4 linked regions of the Alligator mississippiensis genome follow. The protein of the gene in region 1 interacts with the protein of each later gene in a pairwise test. Links are inferred from orthologs where the notes say so. Each region holds a gene or a part of one and is shown in the gene's direction. Other genes may lie near its edges. The genes, in order: MAX, UNC45A, MXI1 and PLEKHF2.

The links.
Region 2: the proteins of MAX (region 1) and UNC45A interact in binary tests that used the Homo sapiens proteins (3 or more experiments, as listed by UniProt). The two-hybrid records come from large-scale screens. The link is inferred for Alligator mississippiensis from reciprocal best matches to the Homo sapiens genes MAX and UNC45A.
Region 3: the proteins of MAX (region 1) and MXI1 interact in binary tests that used the Homo sapiens proteins (3 or more experiments, as listed by UniProt). The link is inferred for Alligator mississippiensis from reciprocal best matches to the Homo sapiens genes MAX and MXI1.
Region 4: the proteins of MAX (region 1) and PLEKHF2 interact in binary tests that used the Homo sapiens proteins (3 or more experiments, as listed by UniProt). The two-hybrid records come from large-scale screens. The link is inferred for Alligator mississippiensis from reciprocal best matches to the Homo sapiens genes MAX and PLEKHF2.

The regions. Positions count from the first base shown.
Region 1 is NC_081825.1:171,679,929-171,686,860, reverse strand, and holds the start of MAX (protein max), read left to right. Parts: upstream 1-3,918; 5' UTR 3,919-4,022; coding exon 4,023-4,058; intron 4,059-4,203; coding exon 4,204-4,230; intron 4,231-6,932. UniProt on the Homo sapiens protein: Transcription regulator. Forms a sequence-specific DNA-binding protein complex with MYC or MAD which recognizes the core sequence 5'-CAC[GA]TG-3'. The MYC:MAX complex is a transcriptional activator, whereas the MAD:MAX complex is a repressor.
Region 2 is NC_081834.1:786,285-793,329, forward strand, and holds the start of UNC45A (protein unc-45 homolog A), read left to right. Parts: upstream 1-4,038; 5' UTR 4,039-4,081; coding exon 4,082-4,147; intron 4,148-4,600; coding exon 4,601-4,759; intron 4,760-5,383; coding exon 5,384-5,420; intron 5,421-5,508; coding exon 5,509-5,684; intron 5,685-5,786; coding exon 5,787-5,879; intron 5,880-6,180; coding exon 6,181-6,348; intron 6,349-6,653; coding exon 6,654-6,822; intron 6,823-7,045. Other genes in the region: MAN2A2 (alpha-mannosidase 2x), read left to right, coding at 49-182, 965-1,159, 1,302-1,412, 1,754-1,909.
Region 3 is NC_081829.1:95,203,093-95,210,913, reverse strand, and holds the start of MXI1 (max-interacting protein 1), read left to right. Parts: upstream 1-4,813; 5' UTR 4,814-5,155; coding exon 5,156-5,375; intron 5,376-7,821. UniProt on the Homo sapiens protein: Transcriptional repressor. MXI1 binds with MAX to form a sequence-specific DNA-binding protein complex which recognizes the core sequence 5'-CAC[GA]TG-3'. MXI1 thus antagonizes MYC transcriptional activity by competing for MAX.
Region 4 is NC_081826.1:42,918,832-42,926,752, reverse strand, and holds the start of PLEKHF2 (pleckstrin homology domain-containing family F member 2), read left to right. Parts: upstream 1-4,913; 5' UTR 4,914-5,007; intron 5,008-5,495; exon of another isoform or gene 5,496-5,668; intron 5,669-5,721; exon of another isoform or gene 5,722-5,743; intron 5,744-7,921. UniProt on the Homo sapiens protein: May play a role in early endosome fusion upstream of RAB5, hence regulating receptor trafficking and fluid-phase transport. Enhances cellular sensitivity to TNF-induced apoptosis.

The DNA.
Region 1 (6,932 bases):
ATGCTTGGGTCCCAGCTGCCCCATCAGATACCATTCAGAGGTTATTCAGGGGCAGATACAGAGGGAGTGCAGTGGGGTGGCTACATCCCACCACCCCCTTTTGGCCTGGACAGTGCTGCTAGAGCCAGTCTGGGGAAAGCAGCCAGTTACTGCTGCATTTCCTTGTTGTTCTGGGGGTGGGGGAAACTTCAGAGCTGTTCCTGTCTACTCCAACTGGACTGTTGGGGTATGGGAGAGGGCTGGGCTCACCTAGGGCAGTGACAGCAACAGCAGCTTCCTTCCCCTGCTCTTGTGGGGTCTGGGAAATTGGACCCCCCCCCCCCATTCTAACTGCTGTTCTCAGCTAAGCCCAGCCCCTGCACAGCCCTGCAGGAGTGGGCAAGAGCAGCTCTGAAGCTTTCCCCCACCCCCACCCCCACCCCAACAGCAGGGAAGGCAGCATGATTGGAGGGGGAAGAAGAGAAGGAGAGTTTGGGGGATGCTCACCTGCTCTGGGACCTTTAAAATGCTCCCAGAGGCTCCTGCAGTGCTGTTTCCCCAACAGGTGGGTTGTGGGAGTGGAATCTGGGAGTGGGGGGTGCTCAGCTGGCTGCTCCTGAACCCCACTTTGCCAAATCCCAGACCCGCCCCTGAGGTTATCTGATCCTATCTCAGCATCATTGCCATCCAGGATGCACTCCCCAGCCAGCTCAGCTCCCCCAGATACATAATTTGCGGCCTTAACTAAGCTATGAAATGATACGGATGATGTTGCAGAGCTGACCTGCTTCTACTCTGCACAGCTTGGTGGCATCTGTCTGTATGCTTCTACTTCTACCCTGGGCTGCAGATGGATTTTGGGCACAGGACAGCTGGCACTTGAAAGGACTTGGGCCTCATCCCACTTGTGACTAGCTACCTGGCCCCCAGCAGATGCAGAGAAGATAGGGTTGAGGTGATGCCTAGGAGATCACTTGGATCTCATATAAGCCAGCAAAAGCTGGGCCAGAGCAAGTAACAGGAGTTACTGGCCCAGTGATGGCCAGGCAGCACAATCCCAAGGGAGGAGATGGGATTCTCAGAATACCTTGGCTGGGACAAAGGGAGAGTGACTGTGACATGGAACCTGTGCTACGCCAATCTATTTGGAAGCAGAATAAAAGGCCTGAAGGGTGACTATCTCTTACCACACAGGCTGCTGAGTTGAGTCTGACTCACAGGAACCCTGAGAAACACTCCCCATGGAAATGGTTTCTACAATTGCAGGTGTTCTCTTCTGGCCCTGCCATTGACAAAGACTTGTGTGATCAGGGCCGGATTAACACATACTAGGCACATGCCTAGGGCCCTGGGCTGCAGGGGCCTTGGTCCTTTCCTCTACGGCAGCAGCACAAACGGCCCCATCTGCCTCCCTTCCCCTCCCCTCTGCCTGCTTTGCCGTGGCTATGATCTCAACCAACCTGGGGCTCACGAGTTTGTTTGCGTAAGGAACACTAAAGGATTAGTCCAGCCCTGCGTGTGGCCTCTGCCAAGTCAGTCCTGGGTCCATGCCATGCTGACCATAGCAACTAGGGGTGCACTGATGGACCTTTTTGGGGCCGGTACTGATAGCCGATTTTTAAGGAGGCATATCGGCCGATACCAATCCAATTTCCAATACGCAGCCAGGCAGCTTGAAGAGCCGGGTCCAGCTGCTAAGTCTGTTGTGGTGGAAGGGGGAGTGGGGAGGGAATGGGCATGGAGGGGCAGATCAAGGCCCCTGTGGTGAGGGAGGGAGAGAGTGGGGCTGGGGCAGGGCAGGGTGCGGGATGGGAGTCATAGCTCATCTGGGAGGTACAGGAAGGGGGGGTGGGGGCAGCTCCTGCTGCTGCACACACCCTGGGAGGGCATGGGGAGCACGTGCCCCTGGATCTGTGTGGGGCCGGGCAGAGTGGGCTGCAGCTGCGGGCCGGGGTTGTGCTGGGCTTTTCCCAGCAAGGGCTGGGCTAGGCAATGGCAGCTATGGTGGATGGGCGGAGCTGCAGCCACCCCAAAATTTGTCATAGCCACTCAACCCCCCTCCCAGCAACACTGCCCACCCTGAGTGCAGCCTAGCCCAGTCCCCACTGGGAAGAGCCCGGTGCAGCCCTGGCCCCAGCCCACAGCTGCAGCCTGCCCTGATCAGGGGGCCACAAGCCCCCCCCCATGCCCTCCTGGGGTGCATGCAGTGGTGGGAGCAGCTCCCCCATCCTTGCACCCCCGAGCCCCAGCTGTGTCCCACACCCCACCCTGCCCCAGCTGGGCAGCACCTGCTGCAGCCCCACTCCCTCCCTCACCATGGGGGCCTTGATCTGCCCATGCCCCTTCCACTACAACAGACTTACCAGCTACACGCAGCTTTCCTTGCTACTGAGCTGTGCTCCTTGTTACCTACATGCTGTGCTGTGGCTGTGGGCACGCACAGAGCATTAATTGGCTACATCAAGCCAATTTCCAATACAGTCAGTTTTCTTTATATCGGTGCCAATCCGATACTGGACTGATGTATTGGTGCAGCTCTAATACCAACAGTGGACAACGCTCTTTTTCAATCATAACATGAAATGTTAGAGAAGCCTGTTCTGGTAGCACAGTTAACTTGGCCAACCAAATGCGCAACTCCTTGCTTAGGTGATGGGCAGGTGGGGCAGGCAAGAGCGCTGGTGTCCGCCCTGAGAGCGCCAGCTGGGGAGTGGGGGTGCCAGGAGAAGCAATCCCTGCAGTCCTCCCACGGTCCATCGTGCTGACCACAGCCCACCCCGCTGATCCAGAAGTGTTGCGCGACCCGGAAGTGCCAGCAGCACAGCACTTCTGGATTGGTGTGATCAGCCACGGGGGGACCCCCTTGATCATTGACTGGCTGCTGTTGCGCTAAGTGCTCCCTGCCCCCGCCTGGGGAGGCACCAGTCGCCCATGCCCTAAGCTGCCATCTTTGCCAAGGGCATCCCAGGATTTTGCTCACCACCACTGTTACCCACCATCACCCAGGCCTGCCCCCTTCAACCTGATGAACACCTGACATGCCGCTAGTAAGCAGTGATCACCCGCCCCTCGTCGGAAGAGAAAGTCCCAATCTAGAAACCTCCAGTCCCCGACCCGGGCGGCAGGTGCTTCGTTCAGGGCGGGAAAGGGCGCTGTCCAGCAGCTTGCAGCCCGCGGGGCCTGCTGGGGGCGGACGCGCAGGCGCCACGTGACTGCGCACAGCCCTGCACAAGGCCGGGCCGGAGGCAGCCGCGTGCGAGGCGAGAGCTGCTGCTTCCCGCATGCAGGTCAGTCTGGGGGGCATGTGCGGCCGCAACTCGCCGCCGCTTAGTCCCGGGCAGGGGGCACGTGCCCCCAGACGTGCGCGGGGCTCCCCGCAGTGGGCAGCCCACCGCGGCCTCCGCTCCGGCAGGGCAGGCGGTGTGTGCCGCTGTTCCCGCCCGCACGCCGTGAGTGAGTAGGAAGGGCGCGTAGGGGTTCTCGGCCAAGTCTTTCACAACTCTTGAACGCGAGGCGCTGGTTCCCGAGTATCTGTTCGGAGGGGCCTGTGCGCTCTCCCTCCGCCTGCACCCGCCTCTTATGCAGGAGGCTTGTCCCCCGCGCGCCCGGGGCAGGGCTCGGAGCTGCGAGGGAGGGAGTGAGGACCCGTACGACGCCTTCCCCCCCCGAGCGGAAGCAGGGCCGCGCCGCCCCATCCACGTGTCCTTCCCCGGCTGCTGGGAAGCGGAGTCCTTCCTCCTTCGCCGGGACTGCAGCCCCCAGCATGCACCGCGCCCACCACTGCGCAGGCGCGCGGGGGCGCTGGCAGGGACCGGGCTGCGCGGGGGCCTCCGGGAGTGGTAGTTCGGCGGGGGCGGGCGCCGGTGGCGGCCGGGCGGCCCGAACTCCATCCCCCAGCGGCCCCCGCGGAGCAGGGGCGGCCGCGGGGCGGCGGCGGCTGCGCGGTGCGGGCGGCTGCTGCGGCTGCTGTTGTTGTGCTGCCCGTGGCCCCGCTCGGCTCGGCTCGGCTCGGCTCGCAGCGCCCGCAGGCCCGGCCCGGCAGTATGAGCGACAACGATGACATCGAGGTGGAGAGCGACGTGAGTGCCGCACCCCCCCCACCCCGTCGGCTCGGTCTGGTCTGGCCCGGCCCGGCCCGGCTCGGCTTGGCAGTGCCGCGGGCGGGCGGGCGGGCGGGCGGCGGCGCAGTAACGCGTGTGTTTCTCTGTCTCTCTCTCCTTGCAGGAGGAGCAGCCGAGGTTTCAGTCTGCGGTACGTGCCTTTCCTTGCTTCCCGCCGGCCCGGCCCGGCCCAGCAGCGCCGCCGCCCGGGGTGGGGAGGGGCCGGGGCGGCGGGGGCCTCGCCCTAGACCCGGCGTCTGTGCGCGGCGCCACGGCCGCGCGTCTGCATGGGCCGACCGGCGGGGGCGGGGGAGGCGCGGCCGCGGGCAGGGAGGGCCGTGGGGTGGGTCCAGCTGCGGGTGGGCACTGGCGTGGGCTGCACAAGGCACCGGGTGCCGTGTGCGTGGGAGTCCCGCCAGGGTGAACCAGCTGGGGCACGTGGGGCAGACCAGACTGGCAGATGCAGGCACAGGTGTGCGATGCTTGGGGAGACCCTCGCCTGCAGAGTGCACGTCTTCCTATTGGGTGGGACGGCGCACATCTGTTTGTGCTAGGGGGGCTAAGCTGGGCAGGACATGTGACAGGCTGGGATCCTTGCTGCTTGTGTGTGACAAGAGCAAGCGTGCTTGGGGCAGAGGGACCAAGGACAGGCAGGCATGCGTGGGCCAGGGCAGATGGGTGAGCTGCAGAGAATGGTCTAGTAGGATGCATTTATGTGCTGGGAGGGAGGATGTGTGCTGGAAACATCTGGGCAGAGATTGAGGGGGGGTGCAATGCTCTGGGTTGGGCCTGGTGGCGGGGGGCAGAGGTCAGATGGAAGCAATCTCGCCTGGCATGTGAGTGGTCTCAGCCCAGCACAGGATGGGGGCAAGAGGTGGTGTGCAGGTGGGCATGTACTGATCTTAACCAGTAATGCAGGTGCTGAGGGGGAATGGTCTGTGCCAAATGTGTATGTGGGTAGGAGGCAGCAGAGCAATCTAAGCTGTGTCTATGCATGGGCAGGGATAGTGGGGGCAGTGGTCTCAGTGAGGCATGCGGTGACCCAAGTTGAGGCCAAATTATGGGTGATGCGTAGTGGGTGCACGTGCATCCCGTGTGAGTGCTGGTGCACCCCCTGACTGGCTGCACTCGCCGCTCAGGTCGCTGGGGGTGACACCACAGAGGGCTCCCCCCCCCCCTGCTTCTAGGAGCACCGCAGCTGCTTTTTCATAGATTCATAGATGTTAGGGTTGGAAGGGACCTCAATAGATCATTGAGTCTGACCCCCTGCATAAGCAGGAAAGAGTGCTGGGTCTAGATGACCCCAGCTAGATACTCATCTAACCTCCTCTTGAAGACCCCCAGGGTAGGGGAGAGCACCACCTCCCTTGGGAGCCCGTTCCAGACCTTGGCTTTGTGACAGGTCACTGACTTGTCGCTGGGGGGGGCCACGTGCCCCCCTCACTAAGGTGGCACCAGTCACCCATTGGCAAAATGGTCTCAGCTTGGTGTAGGGATGGGCTGACATCAAAAGGGGCTAGGCCAGGGTTGTGGGGGGAAATGGGCGCTGCCAGGTTTGAATATGGGAAGAGGTTGGGGGGAGGATGGTCTAGGCCAGGTATGTATAGGCAGGGATCTGGGGTGGGGAGGGAAATATTTTGGGCTGGGATTGTCCCTGTACATCAGGGTGCAGATTGTTTCTAGGTGAAGGGGCCAGCTGTGTTTGAGTGGGATAGAGCAGTGGTGGTGGGGTGAGTGTTGTGGGGCACATGCAGGGGTAGGCTGCAACGGGAAGAGTTGTGGGAGTAGGCTTAAGTCAGGTTGGTCTGTTGGGATGCATGTGGACTGGATTGTATGTTGTAGTGGATCTAGGGTAGGACAATGTGTGGTGGGATTAACTCTTGGGATTGATTGAGGCAAGGCATGAAAGTGAGTCGGGGAGGGAGTGGTGTGCATGGGCCACGCTGGAGGTTAGGTATGGAGCAGGACTGGCAGTGTGCTGTAGGCTGTGTCTACTCTTTCTTGCTATGTGTTCGCTGTTTTGAGGGGAGAGGCTGCTGTAGACTGTCAGCTGAGACTATAGGGGAATTGCAGCTGTTGTAAGAAGCAGGTGGTGTGAGTTTTGGACGTGGAGCAGGGTTGGGTGCCACGAATGGTGAGGGTTTGTGCAAGGGTCCATCTCTGAGGTTGGGGGACCCAGGTGCATATTGGGAGCTGCTGTGCTGAGATCCTGGGCTCGTGGGATTGCTGACCACAAGCAGGAGCCCTTTCTGAAGTCTGCCTTTCCTTGTGGCAGGCTGCCAGGCGGGACCAAGCATGTGCCAAGGCCTGCAGTTTTCTATGGAATCCCAGAGCGAGCATGCACGTGTTGCATCCCCTTGATCCGTGCCCTCAAGTAAAAGGTTTTCTTCTGCTTAAGACTCATCATGGTGCAGACACAGCAATGTCCTGTGCTATTGGCAGCAGTTCAAATATATAGGAAGTGGAGGAATTCTCTTCATTTGGGCAGGTTGATTTTCAGTGAGTTATAGGGGGACACCAAGTTTAGAACCAGTTTGAGTCGGTTTTAGATTCTGAGTGTTCTAGTTTGGCTGATACATTCCTCTGTGTCCCCAGCCTCAGAGCAATTGTGGTGCTGCTCTCCTCCAGCACTTCCAAAAACCTCCAGTCTAGATAATCTAGGTTGCAAAGTCCAAATGCTGGTGAATAAGGCTGGCTTGTTGGGTGACGGGGCCACAGTGTTTGACCACGGGCTCCCAGGGAGCTGCTTTTCAAGAGCTGGTATTCATTTGCAGAGTTTGGTATTTCTCAGGCCACCTGCTTGATTGTTTAATTTGTAGGGATTGCCTAGACTGTGACACATCTGGGCATTCT
Region 2 (7,045 bases), on another chromosome or scaffold:
GGGCGGCACGTGCCTGCTGTCACAGGCCAGCCCTGCCGGCTCTCGCAGGCCAGCTGGAGGTGATCTTGGACCGGCGGCTTGTGCAGGACGACAACCGCGGGCTGGGCCAGGGGCTGAAGGACAACAAACGGACGTGGAGCCGCTTCCGGCTCCTGCTGGAGCGCCGCACCACGGCCAACAAGGTCAGGGGCTCATGGGGGCGGGGAGGGGGCAACCCCGCTGGTCCAGGCCCTGGAGAAGCAGGGCTGAGGCGGGAGGGAGGGAGCATCAGCGCGGCACAAGTTCCCTCCCCTCCCTGCACCCAGCGGTGCACACCCTGCACCGGGCTGCGTGGCTCCGGGGCGGGCGCGTGGGGAGGTGCCCAGCTGGCCGTGTCTGGGCCCGGTGCCGGGTGGCTCCTTGTGACCTGGCTCTTCTCGTCCCGCCCCGCCGCCTCCCACCCCTACCCACACCCCCAGCGCTCCGGCTTCTTGTCCAAGCTGGCCTCCGTGTTTAGAGACCTGGCCGCCCTGGGCACCAGTGCTGGCAGCCAAGAGGTAACGGGCGCCTGCCCCTGCCCTGCGCCCGTCCCGTGTGCTAGCCGCTGGTATCCGTAGCGTAGCGCGGGCCCTACCGCTCACCTGTAGCCAGCTGGTAGTCAGCACTAGAGTAGCCCGGGGGTCCTGGCTGGGGCGCCAGGGGTGGCAACGGGGGCTGGGGTGCCAGTGCCCCATGGCAGCCCTGCCCCACATCCTCCAGCCCAGGTCTGCCTGGGGGATGGGGTGTTATTCCCCAGGCCAGGTTGGGGGCAGGGAGCTACAGACCAGTTCTGGGCAGAGCTCCCACCCCTGCTGGTCAGCCCCTGCCCCGTGGCTTGGACCAGAGCAAGAGACACCCCCCGCCCGTGGCAAGGCCTGGCAAGATGCCCTGTGTGCTGGGTCCTGGTGGCTCCAGCGTGCTCACCGCGTGGCTCGCTGCGGTGCAGGTGCAGGACAGCCGCCCCACCAGCTTCCCCTCGCTGCTGAGCCATGCCACCTCCATGCACCTCAACGCCGAGGTCCTGGTGATGCCTGTGGCCCAGGAGAAGACGGCGCTGCCTGCCCTGCGCTCCTTCCTGCCCCTGGCCGGCACGGTGCCCTGCGACTTCCACATCCTCAACCTCCGCACGCTGCAGGCCGAGGTGAGCGCCGGCTGCCCAGCACCAAGTCCGGCCCGCTGGGCACGGGCAGGGACAGGGTGGAGGGGCCTCTGCTCCTGGGGGCTGGTGCCCCAACCGGTCCTGCCCCATGGCAGCTCTGCGGCAATTGCATCTGCTTCCCCAGGACGACTCGCTGCCCTCAGCTGAGGCCGCCCTGATCCTGCACCGCAAGGGCTTCGACTGTGGGCTGGAGGCCAAGAACCTGGGCTTCAACTGCACCACCAGCCAGGGCAAGGTAGGGGCAGAGGCAGCGCTGGCTCTGGCGCCATCCCGCTCTCCCTGGCCTGGCGCCTGCCTGCCCTGGTGCTCTGCTCCCTGTGGGCAGCGCTGGGCTCTCAGGGCACTGGCTGGCAGTGGTGTGGGGCGGCTTTGGGTCACGTGCAGGGCTGCGGAGATGGCGCTGGTTTTGAGGGCCTGGGACATGGCATGCGAGGTCTGACCCTGCTGCAACTGCTGTGGGGCCACCCACTGCAACCCGGAGCAGCTCCCTGCACACGGGTGGTGGCCAGGGCCACGGGAGGTGTGGGCTATGCCGGGGGCTGTGCCCCCCTCTCAGCCAACGTCTCCCCCCTGCAGCTGGTGCTGGGGAGCCTGTTCCAGGGGCTGGAGCTGGGCTCTCTCCAGCCCACCTCACTGACACTGATGTACCCGCTGGGCACCGCCTCCGCCAACAACACTGTGATCCACCTGGAGCCCATGGAAATCGCCACCTTCCGCCTCCGCTTCGGATAGGCCCTGCCACGGAGCGCGAGCGGCCCCGGGCACGGCAGGGCCCCGCTGGGGGCACGGGTGACTCCCGGGCAGCAGGAGATCTGGCCGGGCTGCCGCACGAGGGCAGCTGGACTCGTAGACCCGTGGCTGCTGTTTGTGACTCTGCGCCCCAGCTCATCCGGAAGGGGCAGAGGCACGGCTGTGCCGGGCGGGACCGGCAGGCATCGCTGTCCAGCGGCTGCCTGCGCCTGGGTGCGACGGATGGACCCCGTGCTTGGACTGGGGCAGGCACGGTGGCTCCCGGGGCAGGAGCGCAGCGGTGGCAGGACCCTGCTGCCCCAGCAGGGAGGTGTGACGTGTCTCCGGCACCTCCCAGCCCCAGGAGCAGATGCTGGAGCCTGCTGGGCTGGGGCGAGGCCCGGACTCTGCCCCCCAGCGTGGTGCAGCGCTGCCCCCGGGGCAGGACGGGCTGCCAGCTGGGGCGGTGATGGACTGCACGGGGCAGAGACTGAGTTGGCCGAGCACATCATGAGCTTCTAGGAAACAAGCGCCCTGTGTCCATGTGCCTCCATGCGCCCGGGGGCTCTCGCGGGCCAGGCCTGCCTGGGCACGAGCCGGGCAGGATGGGGAGCATTTAGCCCAGCTGGGGGTCTCTGCCCCGTCCCTCCCCACGCCGGGCGGGTTTGTGCCGCATCTCCTGGTGCCTTTAACCAGGTGTCAGGGGCATCCCCGACTGGCCGGCCGGCCCTGGGTCCCTAGGCTGGCACCGGGGCTGGGGCCACGTGTGAGCTTCTGGTGCTTTCCTCCCCCCCCGCACCTCCCTCTGGTTGCTACGGGCACCGGTGTCGCTGAACCCCCCCGGACCAATTACTGCCCCCCGAGGGGCCGCGCTGCGCCCGGATGCAGGGCTGGGCCCAGCCGGTCTCAGCCTGACGCCAGGCCAAGCTCCCTCCTGGCCCCGGCCGGGTCCCTCGGCACCGGGGCAGGGCGGGGGAGGCCTGGCCGCGGCCGCGCGGGTCGGGTCGGGCCGGGCAGCAGCGCAGCGGGCCCAGGGTGGGGGGGGTGCAGCGGCCGGCCGTGCGGGCTGGGGGCCGGATGCGGGCGTAGGGCGAGCAGCCGCCCCAGTGCCGCTTGCGGGCGCCGGCGGCGGGCCGTGCCCGTGCCCGTGCCCGTGCCGACCCGTGCGGCGGCCCCTCGGCGTGTGCGGCCCTCCCGGGTGCCCTCCGCGGCGGGCAGTGACGCGACGCGACGCGACGCGGGCGGGAAGGAAGGGGCAGCCGCGTGCCCCCAGGCGCCTGCGGGGGCGGTGCGGGGGTCGTGGGCTCCTGCCCCCAGCGGCTGCTAACGGAGGCCCTGGGGCCAGGCCGGGGCACCGGGCCCCACGCGGGGTGCTGAGCCCCTCGCCCCGCCCCGCCCGTGCTGCGCTGCGCTGCGCTGCGCTGCCCCGGCCGGGCGGGCGGGCGGGCGGTCCCGGGGGGCTCGTTAGCGCCCGCGATGCTGCTGCCTCCGGGCCGGTCCCGGCGGGGCGAGGCGAGGCGAGGCGAGGCGCGTCGCCGTGTGCGGCCGCCGAGCGCGAGATGCTGCTGGCCGGGGTCGTGCTGGGGCTGGGGCTGCTCCTCGCCGCAGGTAGGCAGGCGCCCCCGAGCCCGCTGCCCCTGCCCCGGCCGCGCTCCCGGGGCCACCCCGCCGTGCGCCCTGCCCCCGGGTGACCCCGGCCCGGCCCGGCCCGCAGCCCGAGCCCGCGGCCCGCACCTGTGCGAGGGTTACGCCGGGCCCGACGGCCGCGCCCACGCCGGCTTCGCCTGCCCGCGCCTCTCGGACAGCGCCGAGCTCCGCTTCTGCTGCCGCCCGCGCCCCGCCGCGCTCAAGTCCTGCTGCGCCCGCCCGCCCGGCCCCGGCCCCGGCCCCGGCCCCCGCAACGCCACCCGCGCGCCCGGCCCCGCCGCGCTCCGGTGAGCCCCGGGGGGGGGGGAGTGGGGGGGCGGCCGTCGTTCGGCTCCCGAGTGAACGCCCCGCCCCGCTCCGCCCCGCCCCCAGGAGCGCGCTGGCGCAGGCGGCCGTGGCGCTCTACGGGCTGCTCGTGGCGGCGCTCGTTGTGGCGGACGCGCTGCACCGCCGCCGCCGCCAGCACAGGTAGGATCCACGCCCCGCCCCCCGCCCGCCCGGCCACGCCCCTGGGCGGAGTCGGAGGCCATGGCGTCATCGGGGGCGGGGCCGGCGGCGGGAGCGGCGCGGACGGGAGTCGCCATGGAAGAGCCGGTGAGCGCGACCCCCCCTTGCCCCTTGCCCCGCCCTCTCTGCCACGTGACCCCAGCCCACGGGGGTCCCACGGCCCCTGCCCCACGTGACCCTGGCCCCATCTCTCGGGGGGGTCCCCAAGGCCCCCACGTGACCCCGCCCCCGCCCTGGGGGCCCCATGGTCCTCCCCTGGCACAGTGACCCCTGACCCTCGTCACCCCTGCTGCCCCCCCTCCTCCCCCAGGGCTCTGCCCACAGCCCGGCCGTGCCCCCCCCACAGTGCCCCATCCCCATGGGCCCACCCTCCCACCGCCAGGGGTGCGGGTACCCCCCGGGGCGGGGGTGGGGGTGCTCCCCGGGGGCAGGGTTACTCCCGGGGGTGGGGGTGCTCCCCAGGGCCAGGGTCCCCCCCCGGGGTGGGGGTGCCCCCGGGGTGCCCAGCCCGCGCTGCCCCTGAGGCCGGCCGTGCCGCAGGCGGTGCCGGGGCAGCTGCGGGCGCAGGGCAACGAGCTGTTCCAGGCCGGGGACTACGAGGCGGCGCTGGCCGCCTACACGCGGGCGCTGGGCCTGTGCGACCGGGCGCCGGAGCGCGCCGTGCTGCACCGCAACCGCGCCGCCTGCCACCTCAAGCTGGTGAGACCGCGGGGGCGGGTGTGCGGGGCAGGGCGGGGCGGCACAGGTTTGCACACGCACATGCACGCACGCCAGCCTGCCCGGCCCATCCCAGCCCAGCCTTCGCGCCGCGCCCCGACGCGGGGGCTGGAGGCAGCGCCGGGTGGCCGCGGAGCCATCTGGCTGCCCCTGGCAGCGCGCCGCGGGTCCGTTCCTGAGCCCCGGGGCCCGTTAACGCGCCGCAGGGAAGGGCAGCGGGGTCCGGGTGCCTGGGGCCACAGCCCGGCCGGTGCTGGGTCACGAGGAGCGAGCGAGCCCCCGTGCGCCGCGCCCCGGCTGCCTGGGGCTCCCTCCAGGATGGGGCCCGCGGGCTCCGATGTCCCCGGGGCTCGTTGCTGCCCTCTGGCGCCAGCGAGCTCCTGCCCCCGCGCAGGGCGCAGCACACACGGCTCGTGCTGACTGAGCGCGTGCGCGGTGGTGACTCCTCTCTGCCGCCTGTCTCGCCGGGGGGGGGAAAGGGGCAGCGCTGTGGCCCCCCAGCTGCAGGCACTGTCAGAATCTGGGCCAGGATCGGGGCTGGCGAGACCCCGGGTCCAGCACTGCGGCACACGGATCGGCCTCCCTCACCCGCGTCTGTCCTTGCAGGAGGATTATCTCCAAGCAGAAGCCGATGCATCTAAAGGTACCGGCGGGCTGGGCAGGGGCCAGGCCAGTGCGGGCGCCATCCGCCGGGGCTCCGGCCCCCTGACGCTCCTCTCCCCCATGCTCAGCCATCGAGGCGGACGGGCGTGACGTGAAGGCGCTGTTCCGCCGCAGCCAGGCGCTGCGGCAGCTGGGCCGGCTGGACCAGGCCGCCCAGGACCTGCAGCGCTGCGTGAGCCTGGAGCCCCGGAACAAGGCCTTCCAGGAGGCGCTGCGCGACCTGGGCAGCAGCGTGCAGGAGAAGGTGGAGCCCCCCACCCTGCCCCTCGCCCCTGGGCCAGCCGCAGCCCCTGCTGCGTGTTGGAGCCCGTCCGTCCCCCCTGACTTGCTCATCCATCTGTCCCAGATGAAGGCCATGTCCTGCACGGACTCCAAAGTGCAGCAGATGTTCCAGATCCTGCTGGACCCCGAGGAGAAGGACGCGGACAAGAGGCAGAAGGTGCGTGGGGAAGGAGGGGGGCTAGCTTGGCTGGGGGCAGGGGCTCTGGGAGGGCGAGTGGGGGTCACACACAAGCCGTGGTGCTGAGAGGCCGCCAAGGCCCTGGGTGCGGAGCCTCTGAGCTGTGCAGAAAGCGGCTGCTTGAGGCCCCGAAGGGGGCGGCTGTGGCAAGGCCCTGCCGGGGTGCCCGATGCATTGGGGCCTGGGTGACGGCTGGTCCTGGCTCCTCTGCAGGGGCACAAGTGCCGGTGGGGTGGGGCACGGGCGCTGGCACCTGGCCGTGACTCTTGCTCCCTCGCAGGCTGCGCAGAACCTGATCGTGCTGGCGCGCGAGGAGCCGGGGGCGGAGAAGATCTTCCAGAGCGATGGCGTGCGCCTGCTGCAGCAGTTGCTGGAGGCGGGCGAGGCTGACACCATGCTGGCCGCCCTGCGCACCCTGGTCGGTCTCTGCTCTGGCCACCGCTCCCGGGTAGGGCCGTGCGCCACACCGCGCTCCCCCATCCCGTCAGCCGTGCCAGGGGGAGGGCTCCCGCAGCAGGGGTGTGGCTGACCCAGCGGCTGCAGCCCAGCTGGGACCAGTGTCTCGCCAGCAAGGCCTCTCTGCTCTCCTGAATGCTGGGGGCTGCCCCCCAGCCGTGATGGGCACGAGGTGCTGGGGCCAGGAGTGTGGAGGTGCTAGGGCCAGGGGTGTGGCAACAAGAAGCCGCACATTGACATGGGGCTGGGGCTGGGCACCTGGGGCTCCCCTGGCAGCAACCGTCCCTGTGCCCGCAGACCACGGCCATCCTGGCGGAGCTGGGGCCGCCGCGCCTCTCAGGGCTGCTGGGCGCGGAGCATGAGCAGGTCTCGCTGGCGGCCTGCAACCTGCTGCAGGTCATGATCGACGCGCTCAAGGAGGGGCTGCAGCGGGACGTGCGTGGCAAGGAGGACGCCCTTGTGCTGGGTGAGCGGCGGGTGCCTCTGTGGGCACAGCAGGGGAAGTGGGCACCCCTCCTGGCACCTCATGTCGTAGCCCAGCCTTCTGCTGTGGGGCCTGCACCCTGTGTCCCCAGGATCTGGTTCCTGCTGAGGGGGGCAAGAGGCAGGCGTGGCTGGGGTGCTGCTGGCAGCCTTGGGGGCTGGGTTGTGAAAGAGCTGCATGCCCCGGTGCCCAGCTGGCAGGGGTG
Region 3 (7,821 bases), on another chromosome or scaffold:
TTCAACCCCTTTCGGTGCTGAGAAGCTCTTTCCTTTTGAAGTTCAAACAAACAGAGTAAAATCGGTGAAGATATTCTCCAGGTTAAGGACTGTGTTTCATAGTTTCACAGCTGGTCGGGTCAGAAGGGACCTGAGCAGATCATCTAGTCTGACCCCCTGCCATGGCAGGAAAGAGTACTGGGGTCAAACGACCCCAGCAAGGTGTTCATCCAGCTTCCTCTTAAAGACCCCCAGGGCAGGAGCCAGCACCACTTCTCTTGGAAGTTGGTTCCAGGCCCTAGCCGCCCTGACTGTGAAGTGGCGCCTCCTGATATCTAGCCTGAATCTACCCTCTGCCAGCTTGTGACTGGTATTTCTAGTCACTCCTGGGAGTGCTCAGGGGAACAGGGACTCCCCCAATGCCTGCTGGTCCCCCCTGACTGGTTTGTAGACGGCCACCAGATCCCCTCTCAGCCTTCTCTTGTGGAGGCTGAACAGGTTCAGGTCCAGTAGACTCTCCTCGTAGGGCCTGCCCTGCTGCCCCCCGATCATGCGGGTGGCCCTCCTCTGGACCCTCTCCATGCTGTCCACATCCCTCCTGAAGTGTGGCGCCCAGAACTGGACGCAGTACTCCACCTGCGGCCTGACCAGTGTTGCGTAGAGGGGGAGGATCACCTCCTTGGACCTGCTTGAGATGCATCTGTGGGTGCACGACAAGGTGCGGTTGGCCTTCCTGACCGCATCCCCACACTGCTGGCCCACGTTCATTTTGGCATCAATGAGGACTCCAAGATCCTTTTCTGCCTCTGCACTGATGAGAAGGGAGTTCCCCAGCCTGTAGGCATGCCTGCTGGTTCTTCCTCCCCAGGTGCAGCACCTTGCACTTGTCAGTGTTGAAACCCATCCTGTTCTCATCTGCCCACCCCTGTAACCTGTCCAGGTCTGATTGCAGCCTATTCCTCCCTTCTAGCATGCCCACATCCCCCCACATCTTAGTGTCATCTGTGAATTTGAACAGGGTGCTTTTTATTGCCTCATCCAAGTCGCCGATGAAGATGTTGAACAGTGCGGGCCCGAGCACCGAGCCCTGGGGGACCCCACTGCCCACATCCCTCGAGGTTGAAAATGACCCGTCCACCACCACTCTCTGGGTGCGGCCCTCCAGCCAGTTAGTGATCCATTTGACTGTGTAGGTGTCGACACCACAATCCCCTAGGTTTTTAATGAGACTAGGTGAGAGAGTGTCAAAGGCCTTCCTAAAGTCCAGAAACACTACGTCCACCGAGACACCTGCGTCCAAGGATTTTGTGACCTGGTCATAGAAGGCCACCAGGTTGGTCTGACAGGACCTGCCTCGAATGAACCCATGTTGGTTGCCCCCAAGCATAACCTCCCCTGCCGGCCCCACGTGGACATGCGCCAGGATAATTCTCTCCAAAAGTTTACCTAGGATCGAGGTAAGACTGACTGGCCTATGGTTCCCTGAGTCCTCCTTCCTCCCTTTTTTGAAACTGGGAACCACATTGGCCCTTTTCCAGTCCTCCGGCACCACACCAGAGCACCACGAGTGCTCGTAATGCCGAGCCAGGGGTCCCGCAATGACCTCCGCTCATTCCCTCAGCGCTCTGGGGTGGAGGTCGCCAGGACCAGCTGTGTTGCATTCACCTGCGTGTGATTCAGTCTCTGGCTGATGTGATTCATGCTGAAACCCAGTGGCCATAATTTTGGGCTCCTCCTTGCTGTCCTGGTCATTCTGCAATTAGAAAGCAGGCGTCTCCGGGACCGATAGTTTCACGAGGCTGGTTGACAGGGTGCACGTGTGAAGCAGGGGCTGCGTCATCTCGGTTAGCTGGGGCCATAAATTAAATAAAACTCCGTTTCAAACACTGCTCAGAGATGTTTAACACCATCTGGGAGACGCGTTTCACCTCTCGTCTTGGTTGGTGATGTTCATGTCTACTTCTTCACTCCTGACCAGGCCCTTTCGTCCAAACTAAAATCTATCCCTGGCCTCCTGGCACCTCTTTGTGGATGTCCGGTCCGCAGCTCACAGCAAAAATGGGCAAAAGGAGCTCTTTATATCTCTCTTCCCCTTGCATCCACTTTCTCGAGTGTCTGACATCCTTCTGGCATTGGGGTGTCAGCTTCGACGCAGTCCTTTCTTCCCGTCCTGGTGAATTCTTCTTGTTCCATGTGACTAAGATCCAGCTTTTCTTCTCCATCCACAAGCTAGAGCTTCATCCAGACTTTCATTATCTTATTACTTCTTCTTTACTGTGACCTCTCCCTCTCCAGTCATCACAAATGCAACCAGGTGCCTTTTGGTTCCCATTCAAAATGCTGGAACAAGGGTTATTTTCCTGGTTCAGGGCTGCTCAGGGTCACCTTCACTTTGCATCTCTTCAATGGCTCCCTCTCCACCACGTCCTCGCACACAAACCGCATGTCTTCACTGTCCAAACCCACTCTGGACTTTCTCCTGTGCCTGTATAGCACTTGGTCCAGCTGGTATCCACAGGGGCTCCTAGGTGCCCATGATAATAAATGATAATAATCAGATGAGTAGAAGGCATAGCTGTATGTAAATCAGAAATTGGAGGAGACCAGTGGGATGGTATCATTTGGATCACTCGAGTGCAGAATTGCACCTCATCGCATAGCCTGTTCTCCAGTACTCGGGCCAGTTTTACACGATCCTTCAGTGATTCTGTGCTGTTCCAGGGAGTCCTTAATACATAGTAAGAATGTCTAAAAATTGCTCCCATTGAAGCAAGCATCTACGTTTAATCAGTGGAACAACTTGCTTGCGTCTGGGCAGGTGTTTGCACGTGCACCCTGCTGTATCGGGGCCAAAGCAAGCAGAGCTTCGTTCAGCAGTTTGCTCCGCAGCGCTCAGGACTGCTACCAGGTGCATCAGTGAGGCCCGAGAGCACAACGGTAGTGGTTCTCATCTCGGGCTGTCGAGCACCTGCACAAAATCAAGCCCTTCCACTGAGGGCAGGTCTCAAGTCGGGCAGCTGAGAATCGATCCCAATATCCCCACTGAAAGTGCAGATGGAGGGATTCTCCCATTGACATGCAAACTTCCACCCGCGGCCCAGGTCCTCAGAAACATGGTGTTCCTAGTTTAGCCCTGCTTGCATACGTGACCTAACCCCAGCAAGATGGGAGGGAAGCGTTCTCCAATCTCGGGGTGTGATGGCCTGGAGTCTGGGTGTGTCAGCAGAGGGATGGAGGGAGGAACAATTTGGAGATCACCCATCTGTTTGATCTGTTCTGGCTCGCAGACCATGCTTTACAAGAATTAGCGGCTGGATTACAGCTCGGAAAAGGGAGCAGGCCCAGGTCAGAACTGTCTTCTGAAGGGATGAGTCATTTTGTTTGTGGATCACACCCGCAGAGACACCCATTTCTTTTGACAATGGAAATGATCGTTGGGGGCAGGTGCACTGCTGCAATCTCGGTTGCTTCCTGCTCCACCCAAACTATCAAACCAACTGCCCAGGAGTGGAGCAGCATTTCTATTCGGGCAGCAGCGAAGGACTCGGTTGACTCCACGGCTCATTACACTCCTGATTCTTTCATCCCACAGATATGAATGCCCCTCTCTCCTTTGAAAGGCCTTGATGTTCGGCTAATCAGATCCGCTTTTCTTCTGTGTCTCTGCTGCTTGGTATCTGTATGCGGTAATGCATAGCCCTGCAGATTGTTTTGAACCCTAGCTAAAATCAGCTCAAGGGTGGAAGTAACTGTCCGTGATGCACTGGATGCAGAGTCAAGATGCTCAAAGCAGGCTTTTGTTTTAGAGGTGCACTTCGTTCAAATCAGCGCAAGACTAACGAAACAATGTATTTGGGTTATTTTTGCTTCGTTTGCTGTGTTTTTATGCATAATACACGACACAGCAAACTAATGCCCATTCCAATACATTTCTATTTCTTTTGTGCTCCAATCATAAACTGAATAATAATGATTAATACAGCCCTAGCTTATCACTAAGGCTTCTTGTTTCTTTTTAATTTGATAAAAATATGTGCTGTGTTACATGTGACGATGCACCACACCATATACACCCCCCTTTCTGAAATCCTAGATCCACCCATATGTTCATTATTCACCTTTTTCTTCTAGTTTGGTAACACTGAGCAGCATCTCCATGAGGCCCCACGGCAGTGGGTTGTGTACGAGCCTCTCTCGATTTGCAACGCAGGCACCTCTAGGATGGAAGATGCGTAGCCGAGATGCAGCTTGGGGTTGTGCCGTGAGGTTTTCACCTCGTTGGCGATGTCTGCACCTGTGCACTTGTGTTTGGTCACGGGTATCGACTGCTTTCTGCCCCCAGATGGGGTGCAAATTGTCACTTCTGTCTGCACCCTCTGTGATGGGGAACTTTGGATCAAGGCAAATCCCAGCTTTTATGAGAAATGGCTGAGGCTCCGGGGCCCGTGGCGTTCATGGTTGCAGCGGCACCTTGACCCCCCCCCCACCCCAAAACGAACAGCGTCTATTCCAGGCTCCCAGTACACACGTAGGGACGACAGGCAAAGACCTGCAATCTCCATCCCCAAAGAGGAGGAACAGGGAGGCTTGGGGTTGTTTTTTTAGGTCTCATCAGACTGTCTGAAGTGTTGCACCCGGTACTTTGCCAGGAGAAATATTTGCTCTGTTTCCTATAAGACTATAATGCTTGCAGAAGGCGTCCCTGCTGCGTCCAGATCCCGATACGTTTAGGTGGCAGGAACAAAAACCACCCGGCAGTTGAAAAACGAGCCCGACCTCTACAGGGCTCCAGGAGAGGGGGTGGCGGGGGGAGCCAAAACCATGAGACAGCAGGTTTTCATCTGCCCCCTCCACCTGGCAGCCCGGTGCACACGCGGCACCGGCAGCAACAACTCGGGGAAAGAAAGAAAAGAAAAGAAAAGAAAAGGAACAAGTGGGGTTGTTCTGCCAGCGCTGTCCGAGGGGCTGCCTGCGTCCTCCCGGGCCAGCGAGGAGGCGCAGCTCCCTCTTCCCGTTCACCTTGCGCTGTGAGCAGGCTCAGGAGCGCTAGGACCGCGGCGCCGCCTCGCAGGCGGGCAGGCAGGACGGACGGACGGACGCCTCTTGATTCATTCACTCCGCTCCGCGCACACGCGCACGCACACCACTGCGACCGGGGCAGCCGCGCTCGGAGCCCATGGGGAAGCGGGGCCGGCCGAGGAAGGAGCTGCGGGGCGAGGAGGAGGAGGAGGGCGGCTCGGGGCCGGCGGCCGAGGGCTGGCTGCCCCGCTGCCCGCTCGGGGACATCTGCAACACCCGGGAGGCGTCTCGCGAGCAGCTCGGCACTTTCCTGCACAACGTGCAGCTGCTGCTGGAGGCCGCCAGCTACCTGGAGCAGATCGAGAAGGAGAATAAAAGTAAGCGGCGGCGGCGGCGGGGGAGATAGATGGGGGGGGGCGCGCGGCCCCGTTCTGAAGCGGTCTAAGCACGTCTGTGTGCGCCGCGGCGCGTCGTGCGGCCGCCCCCGCGCTCCCACGGCGGGCTTTCGGGGGCAGCGGAGCGCGGGGCATCCTCGGGGGGTGTTTTTGGAGGTGTTGCAGGAGGGAGACGAATGCATGCCCCCCCCCCATGATGGATGCAATGAGGCTTTGTTGGTGCTTGTACCGCGCACGGCAGTGTCCGGGGGGGGGGAACGCTCCCCTCCGGTGCCCCCTCCCCTCCCCTCCCCTTCCAGCGCCAGGCCCCGCCCCCCAACAGCGGCCACATGGCTTCCACATGGAGACGGGTTCCTGCGCTCCCATTGGCCCGGCCGCGCGGGGGGGGCGTGGCGGCTCGGCCAATCGCGGGCGCCCGCAGCCCCCTGCCTGACGTCACGCGTTGCTGAGCCCGGAGCGGAGGGGGCGGCTGTTGGGGTGGGATGATGTCATGGTGCTTCTTAAAGGGGCCGCGCGGCGCAGTCCTGGGGAAGGGGGGGGTTGTCCTGAGTGTGCAAACTGGGTGCACGGGTGTGCACCGGCCGGGGGGAGGGGAATCTACTGGGAATATCCTGGTGTGAACTGGGCATATGCTGCCTGGGGGCAGTACGCTGGGTGTACGCTAGGAATGCACTGGCTGGGGGGGGTATATACTGGGTATGGACTGGGAATATACTGGAGGGGGGAATATGCTGGGCATGTACTAGGAGGGCACTGGCTGGGGGGTGTATACTGGGCATGAACTGGGGTACGCTGGCTGGGGGCGACGTGCTGAGTATAGACCAAGAGTACACTGGCCTGGGGGGGCGGGGGGGGATACACATTGCAGCGTACTGGCTGGGTATATACTAGGAATTTACTGGTGAGGGTGTGTACTGGGCACAAACTGGGAACACGCTGGGTGTATGCTGGGACTGTGCGGGCCCTGGGGGAGGGGGCCGACACGGACGTCATTTTTTTGCGGACAGCGAGTGAAACAATCGCGGTCGTGAGAGTCCTGCCCCGATGCGATTCTTTTCCCCTAAGAATCAAACTCGAGTCCTTTTGTTTTTCCCCGTCTTTGCGGGAAGCTTTGCAGCGCTCTGCTCTGCTTTCCATTCGTTTTTGTGCCGAAGGCTCGAGATGCTTGTGAATGGCACGGTGCACATTAATTACCGTATATCTTTGTGGGCAGGGAGCTCCCCTGATTAGCAGCTGCACGGTTACCATGCAGTTCTGAATAGAGGATGCCCTTGTTTAGCAGGCGCAGCTTTATCTGCCCGAGCTGCGAGAGAAAACGATCGCGTTTCAGAGAAGCTGCCCTTCTGTCAAAGCCGTGGGGGGGATTAATTGAAAGCCATGGCTTCTCTGTGCTGAGATGCACGTCGGCTAGTCATAAATACACGGATGGAGCGTGCATTCATGTTTTTAAAAGTTCAATTAATTAACTTGTATTTTCTTACATTTGCATGATGCTGTTGTACTCGCTGTCTCCAGAGACCAAAGCATTTGGCTCTATAAACAATTTAGATGTCGGTGAGAAGAGAGGAAAAATGACACGCGATACCTTGCAGAAATAACGACCTTATTTTTAAAACCACTAACAGCGATCGAGTCTGCTACTGCTGCATTTTTTTTTTTAAAAGAATCTGGTCTTAAAAGGATCAGAGAGGTTTAAAACCAAGGTTTTCTTTTTGTTTAGGCTCAGAACACCAGCGTTATGTGTAGGGGTTTTTTTAAATAATTGCTGCCAAATTTCTTGCTCGGTTTTTGCATTGCAATAAGCTTGGACCGTGAAGACGGACGGGTCTGTTTCACTTTCTAAACCGTGTGCGCTGCTGCTTGGATTTATGGTGCAAAATCCCACAAAGGGAACATGTCCATCTAAACAGCCCTCTTCCGCACTCCCTGTCTTCCTTGCAACTATTATAATGCTTTAAGAAAGAAAATCTGTTCATAGCAGGTTTGGCAAAACTTTCCATTTTTATTTCTAAAAACAGCACAAGGCCTGCACATGCGGTTCAAATGCGCGGTATTGCAGAGCTGTATCCATCTCATGCTGCCTTGCATTTGTAGTTCAAAATACGATCATCGTAAAACAGCTGGATAGTGCCATGCGAGCATGTTGCTCCCAAACAAAGGAAAAAGGCTACCTGGATTGGAAGATGATCTGCCAGCGTTACAGGCCCCGGGCATCTACTAGGGAAAGATCTGTCTCAAAGTATATTCTCATTCCTAGTGGATGGAGATTTACATCTTCAACTCAGATTATTATAGCAAAAGGGTACCGTGCCCTTTAGCCTCTCAGACAGAGCAGGAACTATTGCACCATTCTCCCTTTAGAGGCCAGCTGACAAAGACATCAATAACATCTGCACCCTTATCTTTGCAGCCTGGAAGTGCTTGTTAG
Region 4 (7,921 bases), on another chromosome or scaffold:
TAAAAGAAAGTAAAAACTTAGAACTAGATCCTTAACTGATGTAACTTGGTATAGCTCCACTGAAGCTGTTGAAACTATGCTGATATATAGCAGGTAAAGATTTTGCCCTGAATTTCTGGCACTAAAGCCGAATGAGATGATTCTGTAGATATGCAGGAAGCTGATCTGTTAAGAAAGGTGGTGTCATTTTACATAGTCTGATGTTAGACTTGAAAGACAGTTTACGTCTTGTAAACATGTTCTGTGTTCTGTTTCAGGCTTTTTTTTTAATATAACCAAACTGAAGAATTCTCAGGAAGGAACAACGACACTAGTAGGAGTGGAAAAATAACTCCCACATTTTAAGGAGAAGATCCACAGAAAAAACTGAATGGGAGGTGACTACATTCGTAAACTGAATGTGATGTCTACCCGACTGCCCCCTCCCCAGTGTGCCATGTGCCATGCACAGAGGCTGCCCGTGCCACTTGTGGCACCCATGAAACAGGTTGGCCATCCTTGTTCCAGACCATGAAGTACTTAGGTACTCTATGGAAAGTACTCCAGCCTACTGAATGGCAGCAGTTTGTGTCACTTGTACGTTCTGACCATGAAGAAAACGATGACAAGACCAGGTAGCTAACAGAACCCAAACAGAGAAAACCTCATGCAGCATAACATGCTAGATTTGATGATGTAGGTCTTAGTCCTATGTGTTATGTTCCACTGGGGCCAGGGAAGGAATTATTCCTAAAGTTAACCTCCCATCCCCTGAAAAAACAAAAAATCACATTCACATTTGGAACAGTGGCTTTGTAAACATGAATAATAGTAATAGCCAGGGATCTGGGTTTTCTGTTTTCTGTGGAAAAATGCATATTTTCTCAAAATTGGGAAACCTTGGGTTTTCCCTTGCAGGCTGGCAGAGTTTTAGCCTGCAAGGGGTGGGGGAGTAGGGTTAGGGTTAGGCAGTGTGGTGGAGAGCACCTCCTACAGCTCCCTGCAGGTAAGCCTATGGGAGTGGGGGGTGGGATGGGAGCACAAGTGATGCGTCGGAGGTGGAAGGGCACAGATAATGTGTCCCCCAGATTTCTGTACCCACAGTGAGGCACAGGGCTGCAGTGAGAAGCGGAAGGAGAGGGAGCGCTGTGCAGCCATGGACACCAAGGTGAAGTGCCCCCTGCCCACCCAGCAGCAGTTGGGTGCACAACTCCATGCTGCTGCCCCTGTTTCTTTCCCCACAATGTGTTGTTTGTGTCCACACCCCGCCTTCCCTGCACACTCACCCCCTTCTTCCCATACTGGGGCCTGGGGGGAAGTGGGGTGGGGCACTAGCAGGGCTGGGGGAGCTGTGGGTCGGGAGTGAGGGACACTGGTATGGGCAATGGCAGGGCACCCATATATAAGGGTTGCTCAGAACCACGAAGCAGCAGGTGGGACAGCTGCAGCTGGACTCGTGTTCTGATGAATGAAGGGGGTGGAGCTCTGATTTTCCATGATCAAAAATCCAAAATCAAACACCAAAATATTCAGGTATTTAGAATTTTATTATAATGACTGAGTCACTGGTAGGCTTCCAAATTGCTCTAAAATTGTAAATATATCAATAAAGCATAGTGTTAAACTGATACCTATATGTACCTACATAGGGAGGGTGTGTGTGTGTGTGTAGTGGCATTTAATTTCATCCTAATTGTGGAATAATGCAGATTTTACATTTTTATCAGAGAACTTGGGGTTTTTTATTGGAGAATTTGGGATTTTTTTTAAACAGAGAAAACCAGGATCCCTGCTAATAACACTGAAACCAGGAACTTTAATGGACTAATCGTTCCCTTTTAACTTCTCTCCATTTGATTTTATAATTTGAAATGACCATAGATTAAGGATTTGGGGCTGTTTCCTTTTGCTATTCAAATTAGCTGAACATGACAGCTAGATAATTTAAACCTCACTACAGTTAAATGAAACTTAATGGTTCAAACTGTTGGTGCAGTTTATTTCACAAGCACAGACTTGTACATGCTGATGAGTCAGGAGGCTGTGACACAGAAGTCATACCTTTGTATATCATCATTGTATCACAGGAAAAAATATCAAATCTCTAAACTTTTCACAGGCAACAAAAGCAATTTTAAGACCCATGACATTTCACATCACTTACACAAATACCTTTGTAAAATTCGTGTGGTTCTAAACTTATCCAAATAGATGATAAACCTGAAGCTAATGAATACATCCCCTAGAATAATAAAGGTTGAAAAATATTTCACAAAATTGAAATGGCAATTTAAATTAGAAATATGGGGCTATTCTTTAGGAAACAGGATTTTATTATTTATGTGGTATTTTTGGTATACAGGATACTGTACAACAGATCAGTGTTTCTTAGCTGTTTCAGGTTGGCAAGCCCTTACTCAAAGTGAAAAATCTTCATGACCTGCTGAAACATGTTATAAAAGTAAAAGGTTTATAACATTTATAATAATGATAATTCTTCTGATGAATACTTCTTGTTTTGAATGGTAAAGGTGTGCAAGGAGTAGGGGAACAAGATACTGCTTACTTCTGATGCATAACAGAATTTTCAACACCTTCTGATCACTTTTGTAGGAGTTGCAACCCACCACCTGACCAACACCACCAACCCACCACCTGACCAACAACCACCAACACCACCAACCCAAAACCACCACACTGTAAAAGATCATGGTTTTGTAACTAGGTGGTGCAACTACTTTCCAGACCAGTCACCTTGATCCAGCCTAAATGAGAGCAGCATGTTATATGGAAAAAGTTTAGAGAACTATGTATATAGATGAAGTGTCTTGTACAGTTACCAGATCCTGGATCTGAGAATCTTACAATCCAAAAGGCCTAGCTAGTACAACACAAAATGTGAGTGCTTCTCAGTCTGATTACCTCAGGAAAAGGGGTTCTTTAGAAGTTTTATTGGAGAGGGAATGAGCTTCACATACATTAGATGGAAAGCTATTCTGGGTGGCACCATGCCATAGAAACCTCAGTCAAAAATGGGCAAAACAAAAGATGTGTTAAAAGGCAATCCTGTGGAGGATATGAGGGCATAACATCTTGGAAGATAGTACAAATGCTTACATTTAACAAAACAGAAGCTGACAGGGGAGGATCTGGGGGAGAGCACTGGTGCGCTTGCACCCCACTTTGATTACTGCTCCAGCCAAAGTTTAAAACCACCTGCCTGGCAGTGGCGGCAGTATTTCTAGTCAGGCAGTGCTGAGGGAGTCAATGGACTTCATGGCTCATTATAATCTACCGGATCCTTTCTAAACTCTTCAATCCCCAGCTGTTACCAGCCCTCTTCTTTTTAATGGTCTTCATGTTCCACCAATCAAGCTCTCCTTTGTTCTGCAATTCTGGTCTCTCCACAGCCCTGCAGATTGTATTCAACTCACTCCAACTAAGATATATTTGTTTTTGTTTCTAATAGAAATGGAATCATACAGCCTTAGACCCCTAGTGTCTTAATAATGCTATTTCTTAATGTAGTCTATTTCTAACTGGAGAAAAATTGTGTTATATGTGATGATGCACCTCACCATCTGCACACCCCTTTTCAAAATCCTAGAGCTTGCCACGGAAGCTGCCATAAGACATGCAGCAAAGAGGAAAGAGGGTGAGGTGAGCAACGGATGCCCAGCAAGTTTCACCCACGATAATCCATTTCTCTTCGGCAATTGGAAGTGATCAAAGCCGTCCCCTGAGGCCGTATCAGGCACTTGGGGCTCAGCTCCAGCAGGCCTTTTGATGCTATGCTGTTCCAGAACGTGGGACACAGCCAACGGAGCAGAGCTAGAAGCCCCCACTCAATGAGGATGGCCACTAAGGACATGTCAGTGACCGCTTGGGACAACCAAGACAAAACAGCGATGGGGGTGAGGGTCACAGGTTCAAAACGAGTGCAGCCAGTGGGGACAGGGAGCAGAGGACACCGGACAGTGCCTACAGGCCCCTGAACTAGTTGAAGGAGCCAGTGGACACTGCCTGGAGAACAGAGGAGGGATGGGAAAGCGAGGTGATACTTCCCCTCTGTGCAGCACTGGTCAGGCTGCAGCTGGAGCATTGTGTCCAGTTCTGGACACTGCACTTCAAGAGGGATGCGGATAACCTTGAGAGGGTCCAGAGGGCCACTGGTATGGTTAGGGGCCTGCAGGTAAGATCCTATGAGGAGAGATTGTGGGACCTTGAATCTCTTCAGCCTCCACAAGAGACAGCTGAGAGGGGACCTTGTGGCTGCCTAGAAGTTCACTGGGAGGGGCAGCAAGGAATAGGGGATACTCAAGTTTGCCCAGGCACCCCTTGGGGTTACTAGGAACAACAGCCACAAACTGATGGGGAGCAGATGTAGATTAGACAACAGGAAAAAATTCTTTATGGTGAGGGTTGCCAAAATCTGTGATGGGCTCCCAAGGGAGGTGGTGCTTCACCAAGAGCTCAGGGGGTCTTGAAGAGGAGGCTGCACAAGCACCTGGCTGGGGTTGTGTGAGCCCTGCGCGCTTTCCTGCCCAGGCCGGGGTCGGACTCCATGATCTCCTGAGGTCCCCTCCGACCCTACAGCTATGAAAGTGGCGCTGCAGGCCTGGGGGGTCCTCCCTCCCTCCAGCCTGGTCAGGTGTACCGTGGCCAGGGCCAGGTGGCCCAGGAGGGCCTGGGGGTGCATAAAGGCGCAGGCAGCCAGTAGGGCTGCAGGGAGCCGGACACCCTCCCGCAGGCCATCTCCCCAGCCGGGCCGGGCCGGGCGAACCGCGCTGCGCCCCACACAGGCAAGGCCCCGCGGGCGGACACGGCCTCCCCGCGCCCGGGGAGAGCAGCCGCGCGGGGAGGCGGCCCTGCCCCAGCCTCCCCAAGATGGCGCCGGCCCCTCCCCTGCGCCCGGCCGGGCGGGGCCTGCAGCCAGTCCCAGAGTGGGAGCCCGGCGGGGCGGGGTCGGCTCGGCTGCCCGAGCGGGGAGCGGAGCGGGGAGCGGCGCGGCAGGACGGGCCGGGCCGGGTGAGTGTGGTCGCTCGCGCGGGACAAACTTTGGCTGGCGGCGCCGTCCCTGCGCGGGCTCCGCGGCCATGTCGGGAGCCCCCGGGGCCGTGGCCGTGGCTGCCTCTGCCGGGCCCTGCGCCCCGTGGCCAGGCGGCCGAGGCTCAGGCCCCGCCCCGCCCCGGGGAGCCGCTCGGGAGGAAAAGGCTCCTCTCCCTCCCGGCCTTCAGGCAGCCCCGCTCGGTCCTTCGCCTTCCCCTTCTGGTCCCGGGCCGGGCAGCGGCGATGGGGAGCCGTGGCCTGCAGCTCCCCGTGCCCAAGCCCCGGCCGTACTGAGCAGCCCGGCTGCTGACTCCGCGTCCCCGCTTTGTGCGGTCTGTAGCCCGGGACAGGCCGGGCTGGAGGAGTCGCAGCAGGAGCAAACTGCTGGTGGCTGGGGTGGGTCGGGCCCGGCCCGGGGTGGCGGAGCCCAGCGCGGGCGGGCGGGCGGCGGGAAACGCCTTCACTCGAGGTCGGGCTGAACGGATGAGTTGGGAACGGGGGAGTGACATTTCCAACAGACCCGAGTAACGCGAGGTTGGTTCGAGCATGGCACGGCACGGCACGGCACGGCACAGCTCGGCTCGCCGCTTCCTCCTGGCTTCCGAGTGAGAGAGAAATCCAGCGGTAGCTAAACTTTCAGGTCACTTGGAGAAGTTTGTGGGGCGTTAACAGAGTTATTTTTAGGAATCTGGGGGCTTTCTTCCTACAGTAGACGGTGAGGATTGCGTTGCTGCCTGGCTTCGCTGTATGAGCTCTGTAGTGCTTGCCTGTGTCAGTAGTACCAGCGACTGGCATCTAGCTCTGAATTAAGCCTTTCATTTTAAAACTGTTTAATCTAAATATTACATTTTAATAAGCAAGGAGCTGTTAAGGAGATTAGTGCAAAGTGAGAGTCTTGTTTCCACTGTAATAGCTCACTTTACACTCCAGCTCAACTCATTTTCCAGGTGTCTGAGGTGTTTCAAGCAGTACAGATATTGGCTGTAAATATCATTCAGAGAAAGTCCAGCAGCCTAGGACATGGTGACTCTGAAACCCTATCATCTTTGTTGGCCCCAGATTCCTGGCTCTTGCATACAAAATATATCTCGGGGCTTTGGAAGCTTTGAGGAGGTTGCTGCTGTATATGAAAGTAGATGGATGGAGTTGCTTGAATTATAAATGTAATACTGATGTGTAGAGGCTTGAGGCAGGAGTGGAAGCTGCTGCTGCTGCTTCCTTCATGTCATTCAGAGTTAAATAGATGAGTATCTTTTTTTGTAAAGATGTACCTAACAGTCTGAAATTAGAGGGGAAACACATTTTGTGAAGAGGGATTAATTTTGTTTTTTAAATTATAGGCTGCGGACTGGGACATAAATTCAGGGCTTGCTACTTTCTTCTGCATTTTTCAACCTGCTCCAGCTTCCAGATTCCCAGCTGTGTATTAACTAATTCTGTTGATAATCACTTTAATGGTTATATTCAGATGTTTTGGTAGGCCTTTAATGGAGGTGAAAAATGCATAGGACTTGATTGTTTTGTATCAGTCTTGTCTGGACAGCAGTTTGGGTGCCTTCACTGAAGACATAAAATTGTTTCGGGCTGTGCTTATGGTAGAGCATGCAAAACGGGCTCTTTTGTGCACTCTGGTCACAATTATCTTCACAGCTGTGAAGGCTAGATACTCGAAGTTGAAGTAGAGCATGTAGATAATAACAGAGATGATTCGAGTATGTTGAAGAAAATATGCCTGTTGACTAAAATATTTGAAATGCTGTGTAGTTGTAATTCTGACACTTGGTCAAATACATTAACTGGGCTCTCAGTATTAGGGTAATGCTGAGTTAGTTAAACTAATGGGCTGCTAGTATGTATTAATGAAGACAAGTAAAGAAACTTCAGGGTTGGCTTCAGCCAGACATGTTTGCTTACATCTAAAATATTCTCTGAAAGATGTCTTGCTTGTGCGAAAGAAGAGAAACCAAAAATAAAAACTGAGCAGTACTCTAAATAAGTTTTGTTCTACAGCAATGGGCTAGCTAGTTTTTAATAGACTTCAGTATATTTAATATTCAAGTTTTATTTTAGTTCACATGATTTGTAATACCAGTTGTCACTTCCAAATATGGCATTTGTGTGTGCTGGTAAATTTAATGGTTTAACTTAATTTTTAAAATGTAATATATATTTTTGTTTGAAAAGGTAAATTATGCAAAATATGTTTTTAAAATGTAATCATAAGTTTTAAAAAGCTTGTCCTTCCCTAATCAAATATAAAGTTGCTTTTGTTCCAAGGGATTTAGTTCAGCACTTATTTTTGTAGTGGTGGGAGTGAAGTGGATAGAGAAACTTATCTGTAGACATGTATGGAAGATCATGTTTATAAAAGCATTAAAATACTCTTCAGTGTGGTAAAACAAGTGATGACAGCTGCTGTAGCAAGTTGAGTCCTGCAGATTGCTAATTTGAGAAGTTCTGCTAAAGGAATTGGGGCTGCTTGTGTGAATAAGACTTGCTTTACAGTTTACAGACAGTCATGAATTATACTGCTGCGTACTTATTTTGGCTCTTAATTTTTTTTACAGTTAGGTCAGAGTTCATAAAGTTGCTACAATATAAATACCTTGGATCTTATGGTGTGTCTTTGCATACATACTACTGTAGGTAAAAACAAAACTTGATAGTAACTTAAGAATTTTAAAAATTATTTTTGAAGTTCAAATATTTCATTTTATAGGATTGTTAGTCACTTGCTTCAATTACTATTTTCTTTGTTCTAAATAATAAGCCAGGTAGGTTTATTTATCATATATGCAGTTCAAAGTACTTTATGCATTTTGTATAAATGAATTAAACAGTGAAATTAGTGGACTTTAAATACTGGAACTTTTTTTTCCCTAAAATATAGTAA